Oryctolagus cuniculus: one gene and its partners. The protein of the gene in region 2 interacts with the protein of the main gene of each other region in a pairwise test. Links are inferred from orthologs where the notes say so. Each region holds a gene or a part of one and is shown on either strand. Other genes may lie near its edges. The genes, in order: ZCCHC10, SDCBP2, ZRSR2, NPM2, ZCCHC17, LYAR and TNP1.

What was found.
Region 1: the proteins of SDCBP2 (region 2) and ZCCHC10 interact in binary tests that used the Homo sapiens proteins (3 or more experiments, as listed by UniProt). The two-hybrid records come from large-scale screens. The link is inferred for Oryctolagus cuniculus from reciprocal best matches to the Homo sapiens genes SDCBP2 and ZCCHC10.
Region 3: the proteins of SDCBP2 (region 2) and ZRSR2 interact in binary tests that used the Homo sapiens proteins (3 or more experiments, as listed by UniProt). The two-hybrid records come from large-scale screens. The link is inferred for Oryctolagus cuniculus from reciprocal best matches to the Homo sapiens genes SDCBP2 and ZRSR2.
Region 4: the proteins of SDCBP2 (region 2) and NPM2 interact in binary tests that used the Homo sapiens proteins (3 or more experiments, as listed by UniProt). The two-hybrid records come from large-scale screens. The link is inferred for Oryctolagus cuniculus from reciprocal best matches to the Homo sapiens genes SDCBP2 and NPM2.
Region 5: the proteins of SDCBP2 (region 2) and ZCCHC17 interact in binary tests that used the Homo sapiens proteins (3 or more experiments, as listed by UniProt). The two-hybrid records come from large-scale screens. The link is inferred for Oryctolagus cuniculus from reciprocal best matches to the Homo sapiens genes SDCBP2 and ZCCHC17.
Region 6: the proteins of SDCBP2 (region 2) and LYAR interact in binary tests that used the Homo sapiens proteins (3 or more experiments, as listed by UniProt). The two-hybrid records come from large-scale screens. The link is inferred for Oryctolagus cuniculus from reciprocal best matches to the Homo sapiens genes SDCBP2 and LYAR.
Region 7: the proteins of SDCBP2 (region 2) and TNP1 interact in binary tests that used the Homo sapiens proteins (3 or more experiments, as listed by UniProt). The two-hybrid records come from large-scale screens. The link is inferred for Oryctolagus cuniculus from reciprocal best matches to the Homo sapiens genes SDCBP2 and TNP1.

Annotation. Positions count from the first base shown.
Region 1 is NC_091437.1:21,523,491-21,527,750, forward strand, and holds the start of ZCCHC10 (zinc finger CCHC domain-containing protein 10), read right to left. Parts: upstream 2,931-4,260; 5' UTR 2,928-2,930; coding exon 2,698-2,927; intron 1-2,697.
Region 2 is NC_091442.1:27,249,236-27,253,621, forward strand, and holds the start of SDCBP2 (syntenin-2), read right to left. Parts: upstream 2,911-4,386; 5' UTR 2,904-2,910; coding exon 2,814-2,903; intron 2,484-2,813; coding exon 2,426-2,483; intron 1,610-2,425; coding exon 1,509-1,609; intron 681-1,508; coding exon 522-680; intron 76-521; coding exon 1-75.
Region 3 is NC_091453.1:1,939,929-1,943,639, reverse strand, and holds part of ZRSR2 (U2 small nuclear ribonucleoprotein auxiliary factor 35 kDa subunit-related protein 2), read right to left. Parts: intron 387-3,711; coding exon 278-386; intron 1-277. UniProt on the Homo sapiens protein: Pre-mRNA-binding protein required for splicing of both U2- and U12-type introns. Selectively interacts with the 3'-splice site of U2- and U12-type pre-mRNAs and promotes different steps in U2 and U12 intron splicing.
Region 4 is NC_091439.1:1,260,724-1,264,949, forward strand, and holds the start of NPM2 (nucleoplasmin-2), read right to left. Parts: upstream 2,953-4,226; 5' UTR 2,933-2,952; coding exon 2,875-2,932; intron 2,740-2,874; coding exon 2,654-2,739; intron 2,574-2,653; coding exon 2,448-2,573; intron 1-2,447. UniProt on the Homo sapiens protein: Core histones chaperone involved in chromatin reprogramming, specially during fertilization and early embryonic development. Probably involved in sperm DNA decondensation during fertilization.
Region 5 is NC_091438.1:141,023,792-141,027,502, forward strand, and holds part of ZCCHC17 (zinc finger CCHC domain-containing protein 17), read right to left. Parts: coding exon 3,626-3,711; intron 1,821-3,625; coding exon 1,675-1,820; intron 1-1,674.
Region 6 is NC_091433.1:4,827,841-4,832,049, forward strand, and holds the start of LYAR (cell growth-regulating nucleolar protein), read left to right. Parts: upstream 1-1,382; 5' UTR 1,383-1,528; intron 1,529-4,209. UniProt on the Homo sapiens protein: Plays a role in the maintenance of the appropriate processing of 47S/45S pre-rRNA to 32S/30S pre-rRNAs and their subsequent processing to produce 18S and 28S rRNAs. Also acts at the level of transcription regulation.
Region 7 is NC_091434.1:22,432,677-22,435,304, reverse strand, and holds TNP1 (spermatid nuclear transition protein 1), read right to left. Parts: upstream 1,293-2,628; 5' UTR 1,245-1,292; coding exon 1,106-1,244; intron 906-1,105; coding exon 877-905; 3' UTR 666-876; downstream 1-665. UniProt on the Homo sapiens protein: Plays a key role in the replacement of histones to protamine in the elongating spermatids of mammals.

The DNA of each region.
Region 1 (4,260 bases), on a different chromosome or scaffold from region 2:
TAAGCCACCACCTGTGATGTGGGCATCTCAGATGAGTTTTGGTTTGAGCCCCAGTTGCTCACTTCCAATTCAGCTCCCTGCTAATGCGACCAAAAAAGCAGTGGAAGGTGGTCCAAGTAGCTGGGCTCCTACCACCAACATGGCCAGACTTGAAAGTTTTTAGCTCCTGGCTTTAGCATGGCCCAGCTTTTACAGCCATCTGGGAAGTTAATCAGAAGATGGAAGATTCCTCTCTCTAATTCTGCCTTTCAAATAAACAAATTAATGTCTTAAAAAAAAAATTAATCTTTCGGGGCTGGTGCTGTGGTGCAGTGGGTTAAAGCCCCGGCCTCAAGCACCAGCATCCCATATGGGCACCGGTTCTAGTCCTGGCTGCTACGCTTCTGATCCAGCTCTCTGCTATGGCCTTGGGAAAGCAGTGGAAGATGGCCCAAGTCCTTGGATCTCTGCACCCTTGTGGGAGACCCAGAGGAGGCTCCTGGCTCCTGGCTTCGGATCGGCTCAGCTCCAGCCAATGCAGCCATTTGGAGAGTGAACCAGCAGATCAAAGACTCTCTCTCTCTTCATCTCTACCTCTCTCTGTAACTCTGTATTTCAAACAAATAAAAATAAATCTTTTTAAAAAATTCATCTTTCATATAGATTGCTAATTTATGCTTTCAAAATAAGCCTCCACCTGTGATGCTGGCATCCCACATGGGCACCGGTTTGTGTCCTGGCTGCTCTTCTGAAGTAGAGGATGGCTCAAGTGCTTAGCACCCTGCACCCACATCAGAGACCTGGTTCTTCAAGAAGCTCCTGGCTCCTGGCTTTGGATAGGCCCAGCTCCAGGTATTGTGGCCTCTTGGGGAGTGAACCAGAGGACAGAAGACCTCTCTCTCTGTCTCCCCCAAGATCTCTCTGCCTTTCAAATAAATAAATCTTTAAAGGAAAAAAAAAAAAAAAAGAATGACAACAGACCTTTCTCAGTTCTCATAACTTAAATACAATTTTAAACATATTATTATAAAAGTCATATATGCTCCTTATAAACAAAATTAACATTTTTTGACTAACATAATATGAAAATAAAATGAAAAGCAAAGACTCCTCTCCTCTCCCCCAAATACATCCCTAAAATTCTTTTGCACGTCCCTAACCTCAAAATAATCTTCCTTTCCTGAATCCCTGGGGGTATTACAATCTGTACACCACAACAACTTATATTATACCTCTTCCCAACAAGACCACAAGCTGCTCGAGCTCTGATCTGCCTTTTACTTCCAATGTACCTCATGGACCAAACACACACACTATACAAAGAAAACATTTAACTTTCTGATACTTGTGAATGAGCACTACTACGGATTTTGATTAGTCAGCATTCATCTACCTTTGACCCGTCCACCCAGATCATCCATTCATGGTCATCCATTCCACTAGGCTGGGAGAGGAGACCTCTGAGTCAATTGTAACTTCAAAATCCCACAGGTGTGCCAAGGCAGTCAGGTCACTGAAGTGCAGCCAGCTCCAAGCTGAGAGGATATAAGGGACCCTGGCATACTGCATTAGGAAGAAAACAGAGTCTGTTCCAGTCTGGAGCCAACATCCAGGAAAGCAAACCTGAGCAACAGAGGCAGAAGCAGAGAGGCAGAGACGGAGACCTAATGACATCAGTTAGCACTGAGCCTCCTTTCACCACCAAGCTGACTACTCTGACTCCCTGAGTCTTTATCATATTCAGGGAACTCTCATCGGGCCTGAAAAGGGAGAAACATAAAAAACATAAACATATATACGTTAATGGACTCTGAGCTATGCACTATAGGTGTGCAAAACGATGATGGTGTGAAACACTGAGAATGAAGAAGTAGCAGATGTGTTGGTAGGAAAGAAGGTTTTGCAGGAAAAGGGCCTCCGAGATGACCCCTGCATTGTCGGCTCACGGCAAACCTCTGGCGCCGCTGTCCTGCTAGCTCCTTAGGCACACTGGCCATCTTTCTGCTCTTGAGAAGTAAATTCTTTCTGGCCTCCAAGCAGTTTTGCCACTGTCTGGATGTTCTTTCCACACATCGTCTCAGGACCGGCTGCTTTCTCCCCATGGCCATCTCTGATCAAATGTCGCCTCTTTCCACCACCAAACCTCGTGTCCGTCAAAGCTGACCAAACTAGAGACCGTCCCCATCACCGGAGCGTGAGCTCCCGAAGCAGGGGCTCCATCGGAATGAAACACCTCTTCGTTATGCCCAAGCTCTGGCGCCGAGCCCAGGGACTACATATTTACTCAGGGAGAGACCGGCAGTAACTGAGAAGTAGCTGCTGGTTGAGTCCAGGGACGGCGATGGGAAGGGGGCAGCGAAAGACAGCTGGCCGGGAGGCTGCCGAGGGAGCTGCAGTTTACCTCCGCGGGAGCGGAGGGGTCCGACCCGGCTTCCCTTGCCCACGCGCCGTGCGGGCAGAACGGCCTAACCCACGGAGTGACCAACCCCCGCGTGCTGCCTTCTTGTTCCACGACCCCGCAAGTCTCTGGTCACCAAACTTATCGCCCGGGCCGAGCCCCGCGGACGCTGGCAATGTGTCTGAGCAACAGCCATCCTCGGCCGCTCCTCGGAGGGGGTCCGACGCCCAGCCGCGCACCCCTGCGCCGGCTCAGCCGCCGGCTGACGCGCGTCTCCCCGCCCCCAGCCCGTCCGGGAGCCCGAGAGGGCCCCCACTTACGCTTGTCTCCGGGCTATGAGCCGATGCATGGGAGTCGCCATCTTAGCGCGGCCGAGGCCTGCCGCGCTGAGTTTTGGGAAACTCCTCGCAGGGGGCGTGGACTTGGACCCGGCGGCCGCGGCGTGGGCGGGGCCTCCGGGCGGCTTCTGGGCGGGGCCTGCGGGCGGCCTCTCTGAGGAGGCCGAGGGCCGGAGGCGGGTGCGTGCGGACGCCGCTGTGGGTCCGTCCATGGGGCTGAGCGAGGTTTGCAAGGACGGTGACGGGGAAGCACATTCCCGAAAAGGAAAAGTATGTATTTTTAAGATTCGTGTGTATAGGTATCCCCCACACGCAGAGATACTGAATGAAACTACTGTGTACCGGAAAGCAGAAGTCTGGAGAATAAAATAGTGAGCGGGCCCTGGATCCGAGAGAATGGGTTTAGCACATCCTCAAGTGAAAATGGTGTTAACTGTTCATTGTTTAATATATTCACAGCAATGTTATAAGGACCAAAGCTGCTTTGGCAACCAGAAAAAGACCATCGCAAATATTACTTTAGAAAATTGTAGCTATACCTATTTGTAGTATCGACTCATGGAAATGTTCTCCCAAGTCCACAATCTTTTCTATATATATATATATATATATATATACACTCTTCATATGTATAATTACTCCAAAAAGTTAGTGAAAATGGCATTAAAAGAAAAATGTACATTTCCCACCAACTTTTCTGAAATCCTGCTGTATATATTCTTGTCTGTTTCTAGGTCACCCATTTGTATTTTTCAATTAATAATTATTTAGTAAAGTGTTTAGGAGCTTGAGATGCTGTGTTGTTCAAGTTTAGACCCTTGGGCACATGGAACTTTCTACAGATAATAAACAAAATCTGCTATGATTAGGGTGTTTTCCCCCGATAATTCATGTGTTACAAATTTAACCACCAGGGCCAGAGCTGTGGTGTGTCAAATAAAGCATCCGCCTGCAATGCCGTCATCCCATATCTGCACAGATTCAGGTCCCACCTGCTCCACTTCTGATCCAGCTTCCTGCTAATGTGCCTGGGAAAGCAGCAGAAGATGGCCCACATGCCAGGGCCCCTGCACCCACAGAGGAGGCAGCTCTTGGCAGGAGGCTCCTGGCCTCTGTCTAGCTCTGCCCTGGCCTGGTGCAAACACTTAGGGAATGATCTGACAGATAGATGTCTCTGTCTCTTCTGCCTCCCTGACCTTCAAATAAAGAAATAAATCTGAAAAAAAAAAAAAAAAGAAATTTAATCCCTAAAGTCATATATCAGTAATATTTGGTAGGTGATTAGGTAACGGAGATTCTGCCCTCATGAATAAATGAATCTATTTTCAGATTAATGGATTAATTTGGTTATTGAAAGAGTAGTTTCGTTATGAAAGTGAGTTCTCTTTGCCGTGCTTACTTGGTCTTGCAATATGATGTCCTCTACTGTATTATGATGCATTTAGAGTGAACCAGTGGCTAGGTTTACCCTTTGGCTGGCTGTCTCTGTCTTCCTCTGTACTTCTTTGTTTCTCTGCCTCTCAAGTAATCTTTTTAAAAAGGAAA
Region 2 (4,386 bases):
CAGGATCTGGTCCCCAAAGCGCAGCCCCACGAGGGACGCGGGGGTGTTGGCCTGAACCAGCTGCACAAACACCCCCTGGGAGAGGCAGGGTCCCAGAGTCAGTGTCCCTGGTCCCACCTGGGCTCAGAGCACTCCTCCAAGCTGTGGCTTTCCGCCGAGTGCTCCTGGGGCTTACTGGGTACCAGGACCACAGCTCCCCGGCAGGTGCAATGGTCCCCTGCTCCTAGGAGGAATCACTCCCAACTGCACAGCTGGGAGGAGGGGAGTCAGGATTTCACACCTGGCCAGAGGCCACACCCTAACCACTGTGCCACACGGCCTCTCCCAGAGGCACCTGGCTCCCACAGTCTATGGAGGATCGCAGGGAGGGTCACAGGAGGAAGGCGGTCTCCGACGATCACGGCCCATGGAGGGTCTGGTGGAGGGGGTGGAGGGGTGGGGTTCCTGCCTCCAGCCAGCACTGGGGAGCAGCCCTGGGGGCCAGAGTGCCGCCTGCTCTCGGGCTCCGCCGGGCCGCCTACCTTGTCGATGGCGCGCAGCTGCAGCCCAATCTTGTCCTGCTCGTTCTTGCACAGGTGAATCTCCCGCACCCCAGGCTTGATCTCCGCACGCCGGACGCCCAGGTTGTTCCCGGACACGGGTGCCACTACCTGGCCTGCCCAGGAGCCAGAGACGGCTACCTGCAGACAACAGGAGGGCAAAGGGGTTAGCCCGGCCCTCGGGGGCCCCCTACCACCGGGGTCACCACGGATAGGGGTGTGGATGGGGAAAGGAGGTGGAGTGGTCCTGCCCCCGCAGCTCTTTTCCGCAGGAGCCCAGGGGAACGTGGCCTCGTGGGGCCACTAGGGGGCGTCAAAGTCCACATCCAGGGACCGGGATGCAGGAAGGGGACTAATTTCCAAGGGAAATTGGGATCAGGAAAAAAAAGTTTAAAACCACTTAAAATGGAAAATAAATTCACAGCAAATAGGTGCAATTGGGGACAGAAGGACTCAATTTTATTTTTGTTATAAAAAAATTAAGCTAAAAGTATAAAAACTTATCGACCACTTCCCCTTAAGAGGCAGGGCGAGGTGGGGGTGTCCACTCTCCCGACTACTCTTAAATAGCACTGGAAGACCCAGCCCGCGCAGTAAGGAGGAAAAGGGGCAGCGGGCATGCAGACTAGAAAGGGAGAAATAAAACATGACATCGTGGGTGACAAGCCCCTGCCCTCTCAGGTCTTTCTGTCCACGCAGCTGCTCCTGTGTCACAGGCAGCCTGCACTGGGGGACACCAGGCTTGGGCTCTATATCCCATCTGGCAGCCTGAAGCCAGAGGTCAAAGGGCAGGCCCCCACAGGAAACCATGGAAACCCCAGGCTGCTTTTCATGAGGGCTCACAATGGAAAGTGCATTGAGAAACAGAGCCCCAAGAATCCTGGGGGAAAGAGGAGACAGAAACACAGGGACACAGGAGGTCTGCCGGAGTGGCAAGACCAGGAAGACAGGCAGGAGGCGGATACGCACCGTGCTCCCCTCGGCGCTTGGAGACAAGCTCTGCTGGACCTCTTGGCTGGAGAGGGAAAGGCCCATGTAACTATCCAGTTCCGCCAGGTTTGGGTACAAAACTGGTTGGGGAGGGAAGCAAGGAAGCAGAGAGGTGTTACTTGAGGGTGTGGCCACGACCCTTTCTGCCGCACTCCCGTGTGGCCGTGCATTTTTAGAAGAGATGGAGCGTGAGGATGCTGTTTCCTCCCAGGACTGCCACGGGTCCCTGGGAGCACTCATTCCCCAGGGGCACTTGCTGGCGATGTGGCCTCCTCTGAAGATCTGCAGGGCAGGCGTCTGCCTTTGTCCAGGGCTGGCCTGGGACACCAAGTCCATCAGTTACCACCTTGGCATTCAGCTGTGACTGGACATGGGACACCAAGAATAGTGCTGGCGCTGAGGCCTCAGGACATCCACAGTCTGTGGCTGGGAGGGGGCAGGTGTCTGACCCAAGGGTACCCCCACCCCAGAATGTGGGGGAGACAGACCACACTGTGGGAGGGCGAGTGCAGGCCCTGAGTTCAAGTTTGCCACCACAGGACCTGCATCAGGACCACCTGAGCACCTCCTGGGACCTCCCCAGGGTACAGGGCTCCTCTGATCAGAAAGTCCTTGTCCTCACTAGGCCAGCTTTCCCGGTGTCCCCTTAAAGGCTTCTGGTGAGGGTGGAATGCATGCGAGGCCATGTGCATGGGTAGCGAGTGAGAGATGAGCACCTGGAAACCGCCAGAGGAGGGGAGGCCAAGGCCTCGGGCTGCTACCGCCCTGCCCCAGACCAAGGCCTCCCCAGCGCCTCAAAGCCTCTCCCGGTGCCCAGGACCCTCCAGGATCTACAGAGCATTCAGTGGGGGTGGGGCAGGGAGAGTCTTACAGGCTGTGGGGTGCATGAGACTCACCTGGAGACGTGGAGGTGGCTGCCGCCGGGAGCAGCAAGGCAGGCATCCTGGACTGGGCCTGCGGAAGCACGGGCAGTGCGGTCAGCTGCGGGTCCAGGCAATGCATGTGTGGACAGCTTGGGGCGGGGCCTGCGTGCCCTCAGAGCTCACAGAGACTGGCTTCTGCAGATGTGCCCATCCCCGGGAGGGGGTTCTCCTGGGGCCCACACTCCCCAGGTATCACAACCCAGGTAGCAAGGCCCATCTCTGAACCAAGTTCTGAGCTCCAAAGTCTCAAGGTGCCAAACCCTCTCTGGGACCACAGGGCAGTGGGATGGAGGGAGGGAGGGGCTTCCAGGCTGGAGCATGCCAAACCCCATCCACGCACATCCTGTAGCAGATGGCTTACCTGGATGACCTGGTCCACCTTCAGGTCCTCCAGAGATGGATACAGGGCGGACATGGCTGCTCCCTGAGACACCTGCAGAGTCCAGGGCATGAGGAGGGGTGAGGGTGCCAGGCTACACTCAGGCGGGACAAAGACAGCCAAAGGTGTTATTATCCCCGCTTTAGAAAGGAGGGCACTGGGGTTTGAGCCAGTCTGTGTGGTTCCTGAGCCTATGGCCTTCCCTCACAAAATTCCATAGTAAGGGCAGGCACTGTGGCGTAGAGGGTAAAGCCACTGTCTGCAGTGCTGGCATCCCATATGGGCGCCGGTTCAAGTCCCAGCTGCTCCACTTCAGATCCAGCTCTCTGCTATGGCCTGGGAAAGCAGTAGAAGATGGCCCAAGTCTTTAGGCCCCTGCACCCGCGTGGGAGACCCGGAAGAGGCTCCTGGCTCCTGGCTTGAGATTGGCGCAGCTCTGGCCATTATAGCCAATTGGGGAGTGAACCAGCGGATGGAAGATGTCTATCTCTATCTCTCTGCCTCTCCTTCTCTGTGTAACTCTTTCAAATAAATAAATAAATCTTTAAAAGAAACTCCATAGCATCATGATCCTCTGACACTGGGCTGTAGAATCTAGATCCTGGGCCTACCTGGGACAAGCTGGAAGGAAAGGGAGATCACGAACTATATGCTTTCCTGCATGCCCCAAAACTCAGATGCACTAGCGTGGCCTGGCTACTCAAGCCAGCAGGTGTGCAGGGAGAATAATGTGCTGTGCTCCAGGCCTGTTAGGAGTGTACGGGATCGGGATTAACCACTTTGTCTGTCTGCATTTGTAGATGTCACAGCGACCCCACAGTTGCAAACAAATATGTTTAGTCATTGAGTCAAGAGGTCAAATGGGTGGGAGTGCCACAACCCACATCAGAGTGCCTGATTCGTCTTGGCTGCTCTGCTTCCAATCCGGTTCCCTGCTAATGTGCCTGAGAAGGATGATGACCTAAGTATGTGGATCCTTGCCACCCATGTAGGAAACTAGGAGGGAGTTCCTGGCTCCTGGCTTCTGCCTGCTCCAGTCCTGGCTGTTGCCAGCATTTTGAGAGTGAACCAGCAGTTGGCAAGATGTCTCTCCCTCTCTGTCCTGCTCTCTGTCACTCTGCGTTTCAAATAAATTTTTTCTTAAAAGGTGCCAAATATAAACTCCTGGAGCAGTTCAGTTGCATATTGTCTTCCAATAAATCCAAACCCACTGGTAAATTAGATACAAGCGTGATCGGAAGTAATCCAGTGTGAGCGTTTACATATTCTTTTATTATAAATTATTTTCATTTTCTTCATTTCTCCTTTATAAAGACATGACATCCTATTGACATCGATTTTTATTTATTTTTTTACCCAGGAGTCGTCGTCGCCTGTAGCCTCGGGCTGCACCTGCTTGTTCCCTAGATCTCTATTTGCAGTTTTGATAAGTGGCATCGGAGAGAGCCCCGAGGGTCTCCAGGATCTGCCCTCCACTGCTGGCCTCAGACTACCCACGCGTCACACCGCTGCACGACCCCCAAAAGACTCCGCCTACCACACCGTCGCCATTCGA
Region 3 (3,711 bases), on a different chromosome or scaffold from region 2:
GAGAAGGGGGAGAAAGGCAAGTTTATTTCTTTTCAGGCTCACTTTTTTTAAAACATTTAACATATAGGGCAAATAAATGAAAAAATTAAAAACAAGTAAAATGGATAACATTGGATCTTTTTAAAGTTCAAGAAATGCAACTCTTACGGAGAACTATTTTGAGTAGCTAGCTAATTAGTTAACTGGTTTTTTTAATTGATACTGTACTAATTAGTTAACCAGTTATTTAATTGATACTGTACTAGTTAGTTAACTGGTTATTTAATTGATACTGTACCTCTTGCTCTTCTTGCCGTTTTCTATTTGCCTCTTCCTTCTCCTTCTTTATCCTGAATTCTTCTTGTGCCTTCTGCTCCCTCAGCAACCACTCCTCATGTAACTTCTGCCTATCATTACAACGATGTAATCAAAAAAGAGAAATGGGCATTAATTTACAAATACATACACATATACACATTTGATAGCAAAATGACATGTTTTGGGAATGATGGAAATATCATGAATGATATTTTCTATACAGCAGTCAAGTGGGGGTAGAGAACCAGACGATATGAATAAAGCTTTTGGAAAAGTACAGTGTCAGCCAACTCTCTTCCTAGAGTGATAACTTAAGTCACTATTCTAATTTCATAGGTGCTCTGGCTGTGATCTCTTTTATATGACACTACAACTTCCCCTGTAGGCCAATCATTGTAATGATTAGGTGCCAGTAAAATGGTAGCAAGTTTCAAAGCAATATCTCACTTTTCTCATTCAGAACACATTATTCCTCCTAACCTATACATTTTGATTGCAGCACTAAGAAAACCTGGCATCTTTTGCCATAAACCTTTGGACTACTACTCTAAACAGTTAAGAGTCCTGTCATTTGACTACAAACACTTAAACAGCACAATTGAAGTCTTTAAAATCAAGCTTTAGATTTTTAGAATAGATGAAAGAAGTTATAAATTAGCAAGCACTATTTTTTTAAATGACCAATTATAAAGAATGATGTTATCTTAAAGTGGCAAGTGTCTCAACATGCAGTATCACAAGTTTCTAATTTAAGGGAGGATGGTTATGGAGAGAGGGTTTGGCACAGTGAGTTAAGCTACCACTTGGGATGCCCCATCCTGTATCGAGTGCCTGGCTGCTAATGCATGCCCTGAGAGACAGCAATGATCACTCAAGTACTTGGGTACCTGCTACCCAGGTAGAAGACCCAGATTGAGTTCTGGGCTCCTGGCTTTGGCCTGGCCCAGTCCCTGGTGTTGCACACATTTCAGGAGTGAATCAGTGGATAGATTCTGATCTCTGTCTCTCAAATAAAATGAAACAAAAATTTCTTTAAAACTTAAAAGGGGGTTATATTTCCGAAGTTTATTTGATAATAGGGTGTTTAGGACCTAGATTTCTTTCCAAGTGAATTTATAAAAGGGAAATGAAATACAAGAAATCGTTCTATATTACTTCAGCCACATCAGAAGTTAAATAAGGTTTGATGTCTAGCCTGGGGACCTAACTACAATTTTAAATAAATATCCTATGGGAAAATATATTCCATTTTCTTTTATTTATTATTTATTTATTAAAGATTTATTTATTTATTTATTTGAAAGTTAGAGTTACAGAGAAGGAGAGCCACAGGCAGAGAGACAGAGAAAGAGTGATCTTCCATCTACTGGTTCACTCCCCAAATGGCTACAATGGCCAGGGCTGGGCCAGGGAAGCCAGGAGCTTCTTCTGGATCTCCCATGTGGCTGTGGGGCCCAAGTACTTGAGCCATCTTCTGCTGCTTTCCCAGGCACATTAACAGGGAGCTGGATTGGAAGTGGAGCAGCTGGGACTGGAACTGGCACCTGTATGGGATGTGGACACTGGAGGAGGAGGCTTAACCTTCTATGCCACAGCACCTGCTGCTCCATTTTCAACTACAGACTCCAGGAACACACCTGTTAGTCATGGTAGAGGCTGGTATGTATACATCAATGTTCCTATGCATATTGTAGGATACAACACAGATGTTTCAGTTGTGCAGAACACTTTAATTGTAGGTAACTGAAACAAATGGAATATGAACTTTTAAAAATTATTTTATTTACTGAAAGACATAAAGATATAGGCAGAGAGAGAGAGAGAGAGATCCCATCCACTGGTTCACTCCCCAAATGCTTGGAGCACCTGGGGCCAGGAGCCAAGAATGTACCTCAGGTCTCCCATGTGGGTGGTAGGGACCCAACCACTTGAACCATCACTTGCTGCCTCCCAAGCTGCACCACAGCAAAAAGCTGGAATTGTAAAGGAGCTGGGACTGAAACCCAGGCCCTGAAATGTGGGCTGCAAGTATTCCAACTGGTGTCTTAAAACCTATGCCAAACACCTGAACCAGTACCTAAATTTAAAACCACGAAAAAATAAATGTTAAAAACTTTAACATCTAATAATTTTAAGATAACTGTGCTTCTGCTTTCAAATAGGCCATAAAGCCATACAGTATTTTCATACAATTAATTTTCTTGTTTTTTAGCAATAATGTAGTATGTGCTATGGTTTGGAAGTGAGAGAGGTCCCCAATGTGGCAGTATAGAAAGGCAGTGGAATTTTTGTTTAAAAGATTTATTTATTTCAAAGAGTGAGGGGGGAGGGCTGAAACAGAAAAAGATCTTTCATCTGCTGGTTAACTCCCCAGATGGCCACAACGGCCCAGGCTCAGCCAAGCTGAAGCCAAGAGCTTCTTCCAGTTCTTCCATGTGGGTAGCAGGGTCCCAAGCACTTGAGCTGTCCTCCACTGCCTTCCCAGACACATTAGCAGGGAGCTGGATTGGAAGTGGAGCAGCTGAGACATGAACTGGCACCCATATGGGATGCCAGCATTGCAGGCATCGGCTTTGCCCACTACGCCACAATGCCACCTCCCCTCCTCACCTCCGGTGATGGAACTTTTAAGAGGTACAGAGGGCCCACTGAAAGGTTGCTTAAATCATTGGGAACCATCAGCCTCTGAAGAGATTAATGGCAGTCTCACAGAGTGCATTAGCTCACATGAGAATGGTTTGTTATGAAGAGAAAAAAACTGGCTCCTCCCTGGTCTCTAGCTTTCTATCTCACCATGTGATCTCTTCCACACGCACTTGTGATGCCATGTACCATGAGGCCCAACCAATGGGGCCTCCTGATCTTGGACTTTCAGCCTCTAAAGCTGTGTGCAAAATAAAACTCTTTTATTTATAAAGTTCCTAGGAGGCCGGCGCTGTGGTGTAGCAGGTAAAGCCGCTGCCTGCAGTGCCAGTATCCCATATGGTTGTCAGTTCGAGACCCAACTGCTCCACTTCCAATCCGGCTCTCTGCAGTGGCCTGGGAAAGCAATGGAAGATGGCCCAAGTCCTTAGACCCCTGCACCCGCGTGGGAGACCCAGAAGCAGCTCCTGGCTCCTGGCTTCGGATTGGCACAGCTCCAGCTATTGCAGCAAATTGGAGAGTGAACCAGCGGATGGAAGACCTCTCTCTCTCTGCCTCTCCTTCTCTCTCTGTGTAACTCTTTCAAATAAACAAATCAATCTTTAAAAGAAAGTACCTAGGTTTGGTTATTTTATTATAGTACAAGAAAACAAATATAGTATGTAACACTCAGAAGAATAAACAAAGATAAAAAAAACACAAAGATGCATGTATATGATTGAAAACAAGTATTTCAAGTAAGCAGGAAAACAAAATTTATTTCCCTACTTC
Region 4 (4,226 bases), on a different chromosome or scaffold from region 2:
AGGATTTCACCCTCGTTCATGGTGCAAAAGAACATTTTAAAGGCACAGTTGGGCCGGCGCCGCGGCTCACTAGGCTAATCCTCCGCCTAGCGGCACCTGCACACCAGGTTCTAGTCCCAGTCGGGGCGCCGGATTCTGTCCCGGTTGCCCCTCTTCCAGGCCAGCTCTCTGCTGTGGCCAGGGAGTGCAGTGGAGGATGGCCCAGGTGCTTGGGCCCTGCACCCCATGGGAGACCAGGAGAAGCACCTGGCTCCTGCTTTGGATCAGCACAGTGCACCGGCTGCAGCATGCCGGCCATTGGAGGGTGAACCAACGGCAAAGGAAGACCTTTCTCTCTGTCTCTCTCTCACTGTCCACTCTGCCTGTCAAAAATAAATAAATAAATAAATAAATAAATAAATAAATAAAGGCACAGTGGGTCTAGAAGGGTGAACACTCCACGCAGAGCAGAAAGCCTTGGTAACGGACCAGGAAGAAGTGTCGCCTCCATCACACCCAACCGGCATTGCTCCCGGCGGCCCAGCCCCCTTGGCGAAACACGTGCACACACACACACACACACACAGACTGAAACCCAAACCTGCCCTCACTCTCAGTGATTATTTGCTTAGGAGACCCAAGAAAACCAGTTAGAAACAAGAGACGTTCCCCGAATACACAACCGCCATTTAAATCATCAACAGCGTCCCTGGCACCATCAGAGAAGTTTAAAAACGCAATTCCGGGTCCAGGTGTTCGGTCCAGAGGTTAGGAAGAGACCTGGGGCATTGCCTGCACCCCATGTGGGGTGCTGGGCTTCCGTACCCGGTGCCACCCCTGACTCCAGCCTCCTGCTCATGGGCACCCTGGCAGCAGCAGGTGGTGGCTCGGGTAACTGGGTGCCTGGCACCCACGTGGGAGGCCCCGCTGGAGTTCCCGGCTTCAGCCCGGCCCAACCCTTGTCGTGGGGAGTGAACCAGCAGATGGGAGCACTCTCTCTCTGTCTCTGTCTCTCTCTCCGTCTCTCTCTCTCCGTCTCTCTCTCTCCGTCTCTCTCTCTCCGTCTCTGTCTCTGTTTCTCTCTCTCCGTCTCTGTCTCTGTTTCTCTCTCTCCGTCTCTGTCTCTGTTTCTCTCTCTCTCTCTCCGTCTCTGTCTCTGTTTCTCTCTCTCTCTCTCCGTCTCTCTCTCTCTCTCTCTCTCTCCGTCTCTCTCTCTCTCTCTCTCTCTCTCGTCTCTCTCTCTCTCTCTCCGTCTCTCTCTCTCTCTCTCCGTCTCTCTCTCTCTCTCTCTCTCTCTCTCTCTCTCTCTCCGTCTCTCTCTCTCTCTCTCTCTCCGTCTCTCTCTCTCTCTCTCTCTCCGTCTCTCTCTCTCTCTCTCCGTCTCTCTCTCTCTCTCTCCGTCTCTCTCTCTCTCTCCGTCTCTCTCTCTCTCTCCGTCTCTCTCTCTCTCTCTCCATCTCTCTCTCTCCATCTCTCTCTCTCCGTCTCTCTCTCTCCGTCTCTCTCTCTCTCCGTCTCTCTCTCTCTCCGTCTCTCTCTCTCTCTCCGTCTCTCTCTCTCTCCGTCTCTCTCTCTCTCCGTCTCTCTCTGTCTCTGTCTCTCTCTGTCTCTGTCTCTGTCTCTCTGTCTCTCTCCGTCTGTCTCTCTGTCTCTCTGTCTCTCCGTCTCTGTCTCTCTGTCTCTCTCTGTCTCTCCGTCTCTGTCTCTCTGTCTCTCCCTGTCTCTGTCTCTCTGTCTCTCCCTGTCTCTGTCTCTCTGTCTCTCTCTGTCTCTCTCTCTCTCTGTCTCTCTCTGTCTCTCTCTCTCTCTGTCTCTCTCTGTCTCTCTCTGTCTCTCTGTCTCTCTCTGTCTCTGTCTCTCTCTGTCTCTCTCTGTCTCTGTCTCTCTCTGTCTCTCTCTGTCTCTGTCTCTCTCTGTCTCTGTCTCTGTCTCTCTCTGTCTCTCTCTGTCTCTCTCTGTCTCTCTGTCTCTCTCTCTCTCTGTCTCTCTCTGTCTCTCTCTGTCTCCCTCCATCTCTCTGTCTCTCTCCCTCCATCTCTCTGTCTCTCTCCCTCCATCTCTCTGTCTCTGTCTCTCTCTGTCTCTCTGTCTCTGTCTCTCTCTGTCTCTCTCTCTCTCTGTCTCTCTCCCTCCATCTCTCTGTCTGTCTGTCTCTGTCTCTCTCCCTCCGTCTCTCTCTCTGTCTCCCTCCGTCTCTCTCTGTCTCTCTCTCTCCGTCTCCGTCTCTCTCTCTCTCTCCGTCTCCGTCTCCCTCCGTCTCTGTCTCTGTCTCTCTCTCTCTGCCTCTCTGCCTGTCTCTCTCTCTCCCTCCGTCTCTGTCTCTCTCTCTCTCTCTCTCTCTGTCTCTCTCTCTCCGTCTGCGTATCTCTCTCCGTCTCTCTGTCTCTCATATAAACAAGAACACTTTCAAGATGTAGTCTGTGAAGACCCCCCCCCCCCCCGCCGGCGCGTGCGCTCCGGGGGCTCACCATGGGCAGGACAGAGGCCTGCAGGGAGGCAATGGTAACGGGCGACGCCTTCCTGTCCTCCTGGCCGGCTCCGGGCAGCACCTCCACCCGGTTCACCTCCTCCTTGGCTTTCTCCCCCAGGCAGATCTGCGTTGCAAACAGAGGCGTGGGGCTGCCGCAGCATCCAGCCTGCTGCATCCGTGGGGTGGGGGGCGAGGGGCACCCACCGTGTTGAGCCACAGTCTGCAGCTCTCCTTCCCTTCCACCTGGGGCTTCCAGGTCCAAGTTCGCTTCTCCTGATTGAGCTCACAGCCTACGCGGGAGAGGGGAGCTCAGGAGTGGGACAGAGGGCAGAGGAGAGCAGGGGGTCCTTCCAGAGGGGCTCGCTCCCCCCTCCCCTGCCCCCGGCGCCTCTGCTCGGGGCAGAACGAGCTGGGTCCTCACTCACCCCAGAGCAGCGTCCTCACTGCCTTCTCAGCTGTGCTGCTGCTGCTGCTGCGGTTCATGGCGCCGGGCAGGTGGGGGCGCTAGGCTGGCAAGAAGGGCGCCTGCTGTGGGGCGAGGCCCTGGGCCACTCTCCGCGAGTGACACCAAGGACCCACCAGCAGCTGGCACTGGGCAGGCCTTGTTCCCCGCCCCAGAGCGCCTGCCCCGGGGCAAAGGTTTATCAGAGACTCCTGGATGACAAATGACAAATGTCCCAGGGTCCAGAGCATCCCTAGCGCCCCCTCCACCCCCACCCCCACCCCAGCAGCAGCGGTGAGAGAAAGGGAGGAAGTTAGGCGACTACCTTGCAACAGGAGCCCTTACTGATTTCATGATAACTGAGTAGCATAGCTTAGTGGGCTCTCAGTGGCTCCAAACGCAAACAATTGGTAGAGGAAAGGCTGGTTACCCTGATGGGAGCAGCGCACTGCCCACGCCCACAAACATCGCCTTGTGCCCCCCCCCCCCAAAGATGTACAAGGGGCCCTGGGGTCCTGGCGCAGCGAGTTAAGCTGCCACCAGGGACACCGCCGGCATCCCACACTGGGGTGCTAATTTGAGTTTCCGCTGCTTCATTTCCAGTCTGGCTTCCTTGCTAATGTGCCTTGGAAGGCAGAGGAAGGTAGGACAAGTGCTTGGGCCCCTGCCACCCACGTGGGAGACCCGCTATTGTAGACACGTGGGGAGTGAACCAGCAGATGCAAGATCTCTCTCTCTCTCTCTCTCTCTGTCATCACCCTCCCCTTCAAATAAATAAATAATTAAATCTTTTTTTAAAAAGAGGCACAAGGATTATATTAATCAAATGATAATTAACCCTTGTTGAATATGGGGAAAAAAAGCCCCGAACAGGGGCTGTCATCGTGGTGCACAGATGAAGCCACCACCTGTATGGGCGCCAGTTCAAGTCCCGGCTGCTCCGCTTCTGGGCCAGCTCCCTGCTAATGCACCTGAGAGAGCAGGGGAGGATGGCTTGGGCCAGCGCCAGCCCCAGGCCACTGTGGCCCCTTGGGGAGTGAGCCTGCGGACGGAAGATGGATCTGTCTCTAACTCTGCCTTTCAAACACACAGTTAAATCTTCAACAACAACAACAACATCATAAAACCCCTACGCAAACAGCGGTACCCATGGGAGAGAGAGAACTGAAGTGTGTGCCCTTTGCCCCCTCCCAGCACCTGCAGGGCCGTGGCTTTCACGAGGCTCAGGGAAATCCGGGTGCGTGTGCCCAGTGTGGTGCCAGTGGCACTGGTGTCCCCCGAGGCCTGGACCCCGCTCGGCCCCTCCCAGGCCTTCCCCACCTACTGCACGGCCAC
Region 5 (3,711 bases), on a different chromosome or scaffold from region 2:
GGCAATAAGAAAAAAGTGGGTAAGCTGAATGTCATCACAATTATAATTTTTTGTGTAAAGAACACAAATCATGTGAATATACTTAACACTTCTGAATTGTACAATTAAAAAATAGTCAAGATAGTAAATTTTATGTTGTTTGCTACAGTTTTTTAAAAATGTAAATTTGGAGGGGAAATAAAGGACACTAATTATCAAAAGATTAATACATAATCCATGGGACAGGAGAAAATACTTGAAAATCATACATCAGATGGGAAGAAGAAGCCAGAAGAAGCTCCTGGCTTCAGATGGGCTCAGCTCCAAAAGTTGTGGCCATCTGGGGAGTGAACCAGTGGATGGAAGATTCTCTCTCTCTCTCTCTGCCTCTCCTTCTCTGTAACTCTTTCAGATAAACAAACAAACAAATAAATCTTTAGGAAAAAAGATATAAGGATAGAAGCAGGGTTTTGATGTTAGTGACTATATTTGTGGTAGAGGGGCACATGTGTGTTTAGCAAGGAGGGATGAAAGAGAATGGCAGTCACACCAGACAACATTAGGAATGTACGTTTCAGAGCTTTGTATCTACCATCTGTCTACACTGAGCTTTTTTTTAATTTGTAAATAATGCTCATTGAGGACAAGTATCTCATAATAGTTTTTGTATTCCTAGATTTGCAACCCTTGGCAAAAAAGGACCACTCAATTAAAATTTGTAAAAGACTTAAAACAAAACTCAGTAACTGGCCACAATCAGAAAAATCCCACATGATAGAAAAACAACTAATTCCTGACAAAACTATAGCACAGGAGCTGGCACTGTGGCGTAGCAGGTAAAGCCGCTACCTGCTGTGCCGGCATCCCATACGGGTGTCGGTTCAAGTCCCAGCTGTTCCACTTCAGATTCCGCTCTCTGCTGTGGCTTGGGAAAGCAGTGGAAGATGGCTCATGTCCTTGGATCCCTGCACCCGTGAAGGAGACCTAGAGGAGGGTACTGGCTCCTGTCAGATCGGCGCAGCTCCAGCTGTTGCAGCCATCTGGGGAGTGAACCAGCGGATGGAAGACCTCTCTCACCTCTCTCTCTGTCTCTCTCTCCGCCTCTGCCTCTATTTCAAATAAACAAATCTTTAAAAAAAAACTGTAGCACAGCTCTTTTATTTCCTCACTGCACTGCATGCCACAGATGCATTGTTCACTACATCTATTGTGTGACTATGCAAATATGCCTGTTTTATGAATTGCTCCGCTCTAACTAACACACAGGAGACAGAACTCAGTCAGGCAGGCAGTGTTGCAACTAGGGCGACAGATAAGTACTTTCTCGAGAGCAATCTGGTACAATACATTAGTGAGGCTTAAATCTTGAACTCAGCCATCTTACTTCTTTCAAATAAATGTATCCAAAGTAAACAAAAAGAGATTGTAGCCAAAAAGTCAAGTTCAAAGTCATAAAAAATATCCAGCAATTAAATAATCATACACCCATAGGGTGGATTAAATTGTTTTTAACTCAAGTTTTTGAGGAAACAGAAAATCCTTTAAGTAAAACCAAAACAGTAGGGCATAAACTATACCTATATGACCATAATTTTGCATTTATATGTATGGGCAGAGCTCTCTCTGTAATGCTGCCTTCAAATAAATCAATAAAACTTTCTAAAAAATTATAAATAAAAGCAAGATGACACTCACTTTCTTTCTTTTTCTAGAAGAATTCTTTGTGGGGTCAGGCTTCTCAAATTCTTCCGACTTTGCCTCTTCCTTCTCCTCTTCCTCGTCAGGTATCAGAGAGTACCTGGTCCCACCTGGCTGCATGAAACAATCTTTTGCAAAGTGACCTGCAGAAGAGTAGAACAAAGTAGAAAGCAAGGAAATAGTCTCTCCCCTCAATAGTCAATAGTCAATCCCAGACATATGTAAAAGGGGCTCACTGGTTCAGAACATATTAGTAAATTCACTCAGGACAGCTGTTTGAACCACAGAAGATAATCCATCACCTCCAAATCACACCACTCCCTCCCTCAGAGCTAGACTAGCAGCTGGGATTGCAGCTGTGAGACACAAGTGCTGCCTTAGAAATGCTTAGAAATGGGAGAATGGGATAGAAGAAGAAACATCTTTGAAATATCAATAAATTTCTACAAACCAAAAAAAAAAAATGGTAGAGGATATGAGGCTTGTGCTGCCTTCCATTAGCACTAGGGCCCATTAAATTTTAAACATCAATTTTGAAACTTATTCTTGACAATCAAAGGCTTATCCAGAAAGCAGGGTGCTTAGCAGATGGAGCAGAGTGCCAGGCCAAGTCATAAAGGAAGATAGCTGACAGGAAGTGGGCACATACATCCAAACACACAGAGAGGCACAGTCACCTAGGGCACTGAACATCCAGACAGTGAGGTCTGGCAGGGCCCTTGGAGTTCCTCGAATCCAACATCCTGCATGTACAGGAGATATGATTGCCCAGAGTTGACAAGCAGTTCAAGGTTACAGAGAGATCAGCCGAGCTGTACTTCACCCCAGGTATCATGCCTCCCTGCCCTGCGCTCTGCTGTAGTAAAACCAACTGCCTTTTATTGACTAGGACAAAATGCACCTCTCATTATTCTCTGCCTCATGGACACAAGGTAAGAGACTCTACCTTCCCTGAGCCTACAATGCTAGTAAGGGGTCGTTTAAGAGATGCTATGCTCTACATAGCTGGTTTTGTTTGTGCTTGTGGCACATCCTGTCTCAGGGCTCAGAGGAATTATACGAGATAATCAAATAGCAACGCACTTCTGGGTCCATAAGCTGGATGTTGCCTGGAAAGGGATACAGTAAAAGTTTTCCAAATGTCTAGAATGCTCTCACAGTTCCCCTGAGAAGGTACTCTTTCAATTCCGTTTTTCCCTTTCACCTTCTATGTTAATGCCATAAAGGGGCTTTAAACTCCACAACTTAATGAAGGTACAAGTCTGTTACTTACTGTTGTAGAAAAATCAACAGAGCAGGATAGAAGGAAGGCTAGGGACAAGGGGTGACAAATTGAGGGCACTGTGAAAATGAGAAGCTGGCAATCCTTCTCACTATAGCTCCAACAAAGGAAGTCAGGCTGAAAGAGCTTTTTAATATTTGAGTAAGACTAGAGGAAACCTGAGGAAAGAGAGCTAAAAACAAGTGACTATCTTCTATTCTTCATTACTAAAAGGATACTGTTTTCAGAACTCTGAAGTAAAACAGATAAAGCTAAGAAACAAAGGGTTTAACCTGGATCCTTAAGGAACCTACTTTCAAGTTGCCTGACTTTTGCATAATAGTAACCATCCTTGGAGATAAAAAAGTTTAGAGTACTAATCATAATTCAATACTCTGATCCCTCCTGGCCTTGTATAAAAGTACTTTGCCCAGGGAAGACATCAGTTGCAGAGCAGGGAGTGGTGATACAGAATCCAGCAGGGCCAGTATTCAGAAAAGTAAACAGAAAAAGCATCAAGCCATGAACTCAGATATAGGTCTGGCAGAAACAATAGCATAGGCAGGTGAGGTTATCATTTGGCTCAAAAACAGGGTGAGCTAAATGAACACTGGGCTGTCTCCTTCACTCAGTAAAGGGTCCATCTACAAGGACAGAACGATGGAAATTGCAGAGGGTTCCTCTTACCTTTACAGCCACACTTCTTGCAGGTAGTGTTCAGAACAGCCTCAAGGGTGATCTTCTGCCCAGTGTAGTCCTGGAAGGACCGCCTC
Region 6 (4,209 bases), on a different chromosome or scaffold from region 2:
AACCGGAAGCTGGGAAAAATTAGGAGTCGCCAAAAATAACGGACAGCAGCAGCCAATGAAAAGGGTGGTATCACAGCAGGGCACCCACCTCTGTGCCTCCGTGGCTGCGGGACGGGACGTACGGGAAGGGGCTGAGCAGGTACCTGGTGGCTAGTGAGGGGTCTGGGATGATACCCTAGACAGGCAGGTCACCCTGAGCCTCACAGAGCTGTTTTTGTGTTTGTATGTATGTTATCTGAAAGGGGGAGGGGAGGGGAGGGGAGGGGAAGGGAGGGGAGGGGAGGGGGAGGGGAGGGGGAGGGGGGGAGAGAACCGCCCATCTGCTGGGTCATTCCCCGAATGCCGCACAGCTAGGACTGGAGCAGGCTGAAGTCGGGGGCCAGGAGCTCGGTCCAGCAGTGGCTTGAGTCATCACCACTGGCTGTCAGGGCGTGCACTAGCAGGCAGCTGGGATGGACATCAGGGCAAGGACTGGTGCTAAGGCACGCAGGCACGGGACATGGGCAAACGCTGCCCCCCGCTGGCGCCAGCTGACACGGGAGGCCACTACGAGGACACGGAGTTCCATCCTGCAACACGGACTCACCGACTGACCACAGTGTGACGGGCTTCAGGGCCGCGGGAGTGAGCATGCCGGCTGAATTCCAGTGAGAGCAACACACACTCACAAGTACGCAGCCACAAGTCACGGCTAGACAGTGAGACACAGTGAGACAGACACAGGCCGGCGCCAGGAGCTCAGTCCAGCAGGGCATGACTTACAGAGGAGACGTGACAGCGAGGGAAGGTAGTGGGTGTGGGACGAGACTCCGGAGGTTAGAATGGCAGGCTGGACACTGAACTCCGCCCCGCCACCCTCCGCCTGCTCTGCGGTCCTTCTCGGTGAGCAGGTGCAGCAGAACCCGCTGGAATCTGGCTGGCGTGGCCCTCCTTCACCCCACCTTCAGCCCCCTCTCCCCACACACACCGGCCACAGCGGAACTCCCGGGCTCCCCAAACGCACCACATCCCTGGCTCATTAGTGAGGACCTGGGCAACGCCCTCTCCCTGCGGTGCCCGTCCTACCTCACAGGTTGCTGCGGCAACAGGGTAAACAGCTGGAATGGTATCTGGCACGTCTAAGTGCTCCGCAGGTGTCCTGAGAATTCCCTGGGAGCTCAGGAGTGCCGACTCCTGGCACCGGGCAGAGCTCTGTCCTGTGGTCCGGAGTGGGGCCAGGGCATCAGCACAAGCTTCCGGCTGCTCCTGGAGGTGACCCGCAGGCCTCCGCACCACACCGCCTCTCCTGGGAGTACTGCGTTCACACCGGACCGCCCCTTTCCAGCAGGGCTGGGCTGGCTGCCGTCTGCTTCTCTCACATCTGACCCTGGGATCGCCCATGCAGGCTCCCGTGAGGTAACGCGGTTCCCGCATTCGTGTCCAGTGCTGCTGCTCTGTGGCACCTCCTGATCTCTGCCTGGCACACAGCAGACCCTCAGCCTCTACAACCCACGCTCCCTGACCTCTGCTGGCTGATGAATACTGGCAGGTAACTTTTCACAAGCACTTAGGCCATTTTAAATCCTTCCCGTTACATCCCACCCAGCGGCCGCTCTGGCCCCTGCCCTCTCCTCCTCCTCACCCGTGACCCAGGAGTGCGTCTGCGTGTGGCCTGCTACACCCCGACAGCCACAAACCTCCCACTCACCGCCCCGTCACTGCCTTGGGCTTGGCAGGATGAAGTGTGCCTCCTCCTCTCCACGCAACCTTCCCATAATTCCCCTTTCAGGGCCTCACTCTGTCCCCCCCAGGTCCGTCCAACACAAATCTCACCCCCACCTTTCAAAACAGCAGTGTCCACCCCCCAGAATGACCCCGCCGTGCTCTGCAGACCCCTCCTCCCCAGCTCTCCTGCAGCGGCCACTCCTTCCTGAAGCTCCCCCTCCTCAGGACTCTTCCGGTTCCCTACACCCCGGATCTGTGCGGTCTGTGCCACGCCTCCTCTCCCGCTAGTCCGGAAAGCCTAGTGTTCCTGGGATGCAGCTCCTTGGCCTCTCCTCGGTTCTTGGACCATCACGTGCAGCCCGGGCTTCCGCCTGCGCAAGCAGACGGCTCTGAAACCGGAAACGTCACCTTCCACCACCAGTTCCAAATCTCCAGCCTTCTGCCGAACGTCTCCAGGGCTGCGGCCCCTCAACCTGGCGCCTCTGTGACGCGTGCCCCTCACCCCTCACGCCTCCTCTCACCCCCCCCTTCCTTACGGGAAGCACCGTTTCTGATGTGCAGAGCTGAGGGCAGGGTTACCACCTCCTGGTCTGGCATTTACAGAAAGCCCTGGGACGGGCAGCCTCGCCCAGACCAGCACTCAGAAAGGGAGGCTCGGTGCCACGTGGTGGGCACTGTCTCCAGTGCCGAATCCTTGGGGCAGTGAGGAGCCAAGCCAGTCATCAGTGAGCCGCCCCTGCCCCACTGGCAGCCGGACCAGAGAGGGCCTCTTGGTTTATAACTAGCTATCACGTACAAACCACGTACTGCAGAACTGTGTCTACTAACTCAAGCACTTGTAAAGGCTCAGCTATCACCATTTCCAGGTGAAGAAGCCGAGCAGTGGGGAGGCCAGGCAGCTGTTGGGGCCATAAAGCCCCCACGTGCCAAAGCTGGGCCTTGAACTCCGAGACCCGGGGGTCCCTGTTCTTACGCTTCACTGACTCCCGTGGGAAGACCTCGAACCACAAACCAATGTTAAATACAGCCACTATGCTGAACCTTCATTAGACATATCTAGCTCTACAGAAATAATAACGGAGACAATTCTTTGGACCAACTCCCGGAATTATGATATACAAAGTTATGAACCCTTCCACAATTCCTTTTCTAAAAAATTTTTTTTATTTAGTTAATTGAAAGGCAGAGCTACAGAGAATGAGAGAGAGGCAGAGACAGAGAGATCTTCCATCCGCTGGTTCACTCCCCACACGGCTGCAATGGTCAGGGCTGTGCCAGACTGAAGCCAGGAGCCAGGAGATTCTTCTGGGTCTCACTGGTAGGTGCAGGGGCCCAAGCACTTGGACCATCTTCCACTGCTTTTCCAGGCGCATTAGCAGGGAGCTGGGTCAAAAGTGGAGCAGCCGGGACTTGAACCAGTGCCCATATAGAAGGCCAGCACTGCAGGCAGAGGCGTAACCTACTACAACACAGCACCGGCCCCCACAACTTACTTTTTATTTTAAAAGATTATTTATTTATTTGAGAGGTAGAGTTACAGACAGTGAGAGGGACAGACAGAGAGAAAGGTCTTCCCTCCATTGTTTCACTCCCCAGATGGCCGCAACAGCCGGAGCTGCGCCGATCCAAAGCCAGGAGCTTCTCCCGGGGTCTCCCACGTGGGTGCAGGGGCCCAAGGGCTCGGGCAACCTTCCTCTGCTTTCCCAGGCCACGGCAGAGAGCTGGATTGCAAGAGGGGCAGCCGGGACTAGAACCGGCACCCATATGGGATGCCGGCACCGCAGGCAGAGGATTAACCTCCTGCGCACAGAGCCAGCCCCCAAAATTTACTTCTGAATTATAAATAACTAGAGTTCTCTAAATTACTTCCTGACGTCAGTCCGGTACTGTGGGGAGCAACCCGGACTAGACTAAGTTACTGGAATTAAGACTTATTCTATGCATCTGCTCTCCCACAATATGGCGCTGAGAAGGGGGGGAAACAGCTTCTACACAGCTGCCTCCAGTTCAACCAATAGACTGTGGGACCTGCTCCTGATTGGAGGAGAGCAGCGTACTCGGCGTGTGGGTAGCAGAGTTGGGATTGGTGGAAAAGGACTATGAAGGAGGAGAGAGACAACATGCACGAGGAACATCTGAAGGAACACCTGTGCAGCCCCCAAGATAGCCAGCCGGCGGTGTGCCGCTCCCCTGCAGAAGTGGGGAAAGTGGCCAGGGGGAACCGCCCTTCCACGGAGGTGGAAGGGACGGTAGCCAACCCGGGAAGAACCAGCAGCAAACCCGGGGAGGGCCGAGCAGACAAAAGAACAGCGCAGGGTCCTGTGTCGTTCCTCCACGAAGACGGGGAGCGACATAATGGTGCCGTGACTCGGACAGGAAACCTAGGAGGGAAGAAGAGGGAAGAAACGGGAAGAAGTGGGAAAATACCGGAGAGAGAGACTAGCAAAGAGCCTAGGGAAAAGCCGGACGGAAAAGGTGCCGGAAGAAGCTATCGAAAGCCTAGGC
Region 7 (2,628 bases), on a different chromosome or scaffold from region 2:
TTTTTTTTGCCTGACTATAGAGCTAAAGGCAGTTCTGTGCCAATAAAATCCACCAAGATTTGAGATAATTCCTATTTTCAGGCAAACTTGACCAACACTCACTGTGGCTTGAATCTCTAGCTACTGGTTGCGTCCATCTGAAAATGTGGCTTATTACTAAAAAACCTGTAGAAGTCTAGGCATAAAGCCCTCATCACTTCCACTTTACTAATAGGATGATTGTGGATGATTGTGTTCTCCTTACAAAGTTCATGCTGCCTTCTGTTCAGAACACCTCCCAATTCTTAACAGCCTGCTAATGCTTCCCAATGACTTGAGAGCCTCCACTGAATGTTTTTTGGGCCAAATCAACTTCAGCTTGTGTCTCCTTATGCTAGAAGTCCCTTGACAAAAGTAGCTTGTGACCTTTGGCTCATATTTGGCACTCAGATGAACTCATTTCTCCCTATACTCTGTTTCCATATTGGGGAGGGAGTCCATGCCTTGGGAAAAAGACCTAAATATGGAGATGGCCAGAATGGGGCCACCACGGGAAGGAGTTGTAAGGACAAATTACTTTGATATTTTCCAAGTCATGTTTAATGGTTTCATTTGGGCCAATTCTTCCCCAAGTCTGCCTTGCTCAGGATTCCAAGTTTTTCCAACCAAAAGATCAAAGGAAACAGTTTAGTTTTCAAAATTTTATTGAGATGTTGGGGAGAAACAGCCAACATATACATTCCTCATTTTGTCACAATTGGCATTTTATCCACACTCGATAGGCTCTTCTCTGGCTTTGGTCTAACTTCAGGCCTCCTTGGCAGTTCCCCTTCTGTTGTTCTCTCATTGCTGCCTGGTGCTGTTTGAAGCCCACCAGGACAGAGCCCGCTGGTAAGTTCACAAGTGGGAGCGGTAATTGCGGTTGGCTGTGGGGGAAGGACAGGTTGCAAGAGTGATACCCATTAGAAAACACCCATCAAAACTTTTTTGCCCAAGCAGGGTTTTAATCATTGGAAAGGATCTCTGCTGAGATTTCAAGGTCATATGTAGGCTGCCTCCAGATGTGAGGGCCTGGGGAGCAACATCTTCCCAAGTTTGACTACTTTCCTACTCATCCCTCGCTCACCATCATCGCTCCTTTTCCTACTCTTCAGGCTGCCCTTCCGGTATTTTCTTTTGCTGCCACCTCTCTTGACTCCTTTGTGCGGAGAGCGGTTCTTGCCCCTCCTCATGCCATGACTCTTTAATTTGCGGCTGGTCGACATTGTAATTTCTGCCAAAATGAGGGGCTTTGCAAGGCCCGGGAGCTGAGAGTGTGGGTATTTAAGGCCTTGGCCTTTGTGACTGTGAAGGGGCGTGGCCTAGCAGGTAGGCAGTGCTCTTTTGTGATGTCACTAGCCTTTGTTACTCTTTGGTCATATATGTGAAATAAAGTGGTCCCTTTCATGCAGCTCAAATGTTGGCATCAATTTTGAGATGTTTTTCAGGTTAGGTAAGGCTTTCCAGATAGGTAGTTATGAGCAATTAAATCTTGGCTCAATACCAGGCATTTGAGGAATACAAGAGACCACTAAAATACATGTCTCCTGCTTGTAGGGAATTTAGTACCCACTGAGTATGTGTGTATGCATACATGTTTAAGTCTCAAAGCATCTGGAGGCAACAAGCACTTGACTCTAGGAAATCCAACTCAGTATGATCAAAACATAAATATTGTTTCTCTTTCATCTAAAAGTTTCTCAGTCTAAGAACCACCGACGCAATGGGCTGGATAACTCTTGGTGAGTCCTCCTTTGGCAGCGTCCCTGGCCTCCCTGGACTCTACTCACTAGATGCCAGCAGAGCCTCCATAGATGCCATCACCAAAAATATGTCCAAATATCGCTGTTTTTCCTTTGAGAGGCTGAGGGAGTGGGGGCAGGGGGCAACATCAGCCTGGTTCAGAATCACTGGCCTCACTATATTAAAAAATTCAGCCACAAATATTTATTGATTAGATAGGATGCAGCATGAGCTTAGGTGTTAAGAAAACAATGGTGGATAATGACACATGTGAGTCCTGTGCTCATGGAACTTTCAGACTCATGAGATGCCATTAATCTAGTATCCATAAATATCAGTGAGGAATTACTTAGAGGCTCATTTTGCCTGGAGGAGGGGCAGAGGGAACCTCCCAGCGTGGTGTGGGATGAGTTTGAAAAGAGAGGCAGAGACCAAACCATGCTCAAGTACACTGGGAAGCCTTGAAAAATGTTAGAGGGTTGGCACAATGAGACAGGCAGCTGGTGGGTGGGCTATTGATTTATTGGAGGAGTCGAGTGAATAAAGGGAGAGGCTATTGTCAATAGCAGTGGTTCAATAGGGAGAAAGATCTGATAATGGCTTAGACTTGGATGAAGAGGTGTTGATTGAAATACAGAAGCAGACAAAAGACAAAGACTTGGTGATGGATTGGATTTGGAAGGTGAGAGCAAATGGTGTTAAGGGTACAGCTTTTGTTTCTGTGTAATATAGCTGTCTGGATGCTGGTGCCACTCCGGGGATAAAGACCAGGCATGGGGATGGTGATAAGCATGTATTTGGGTTAAAACATGCTATGTTGAATTTAAAGTGCTTTTTTGAGATATCCATGTAGGGAAACTGAATGAT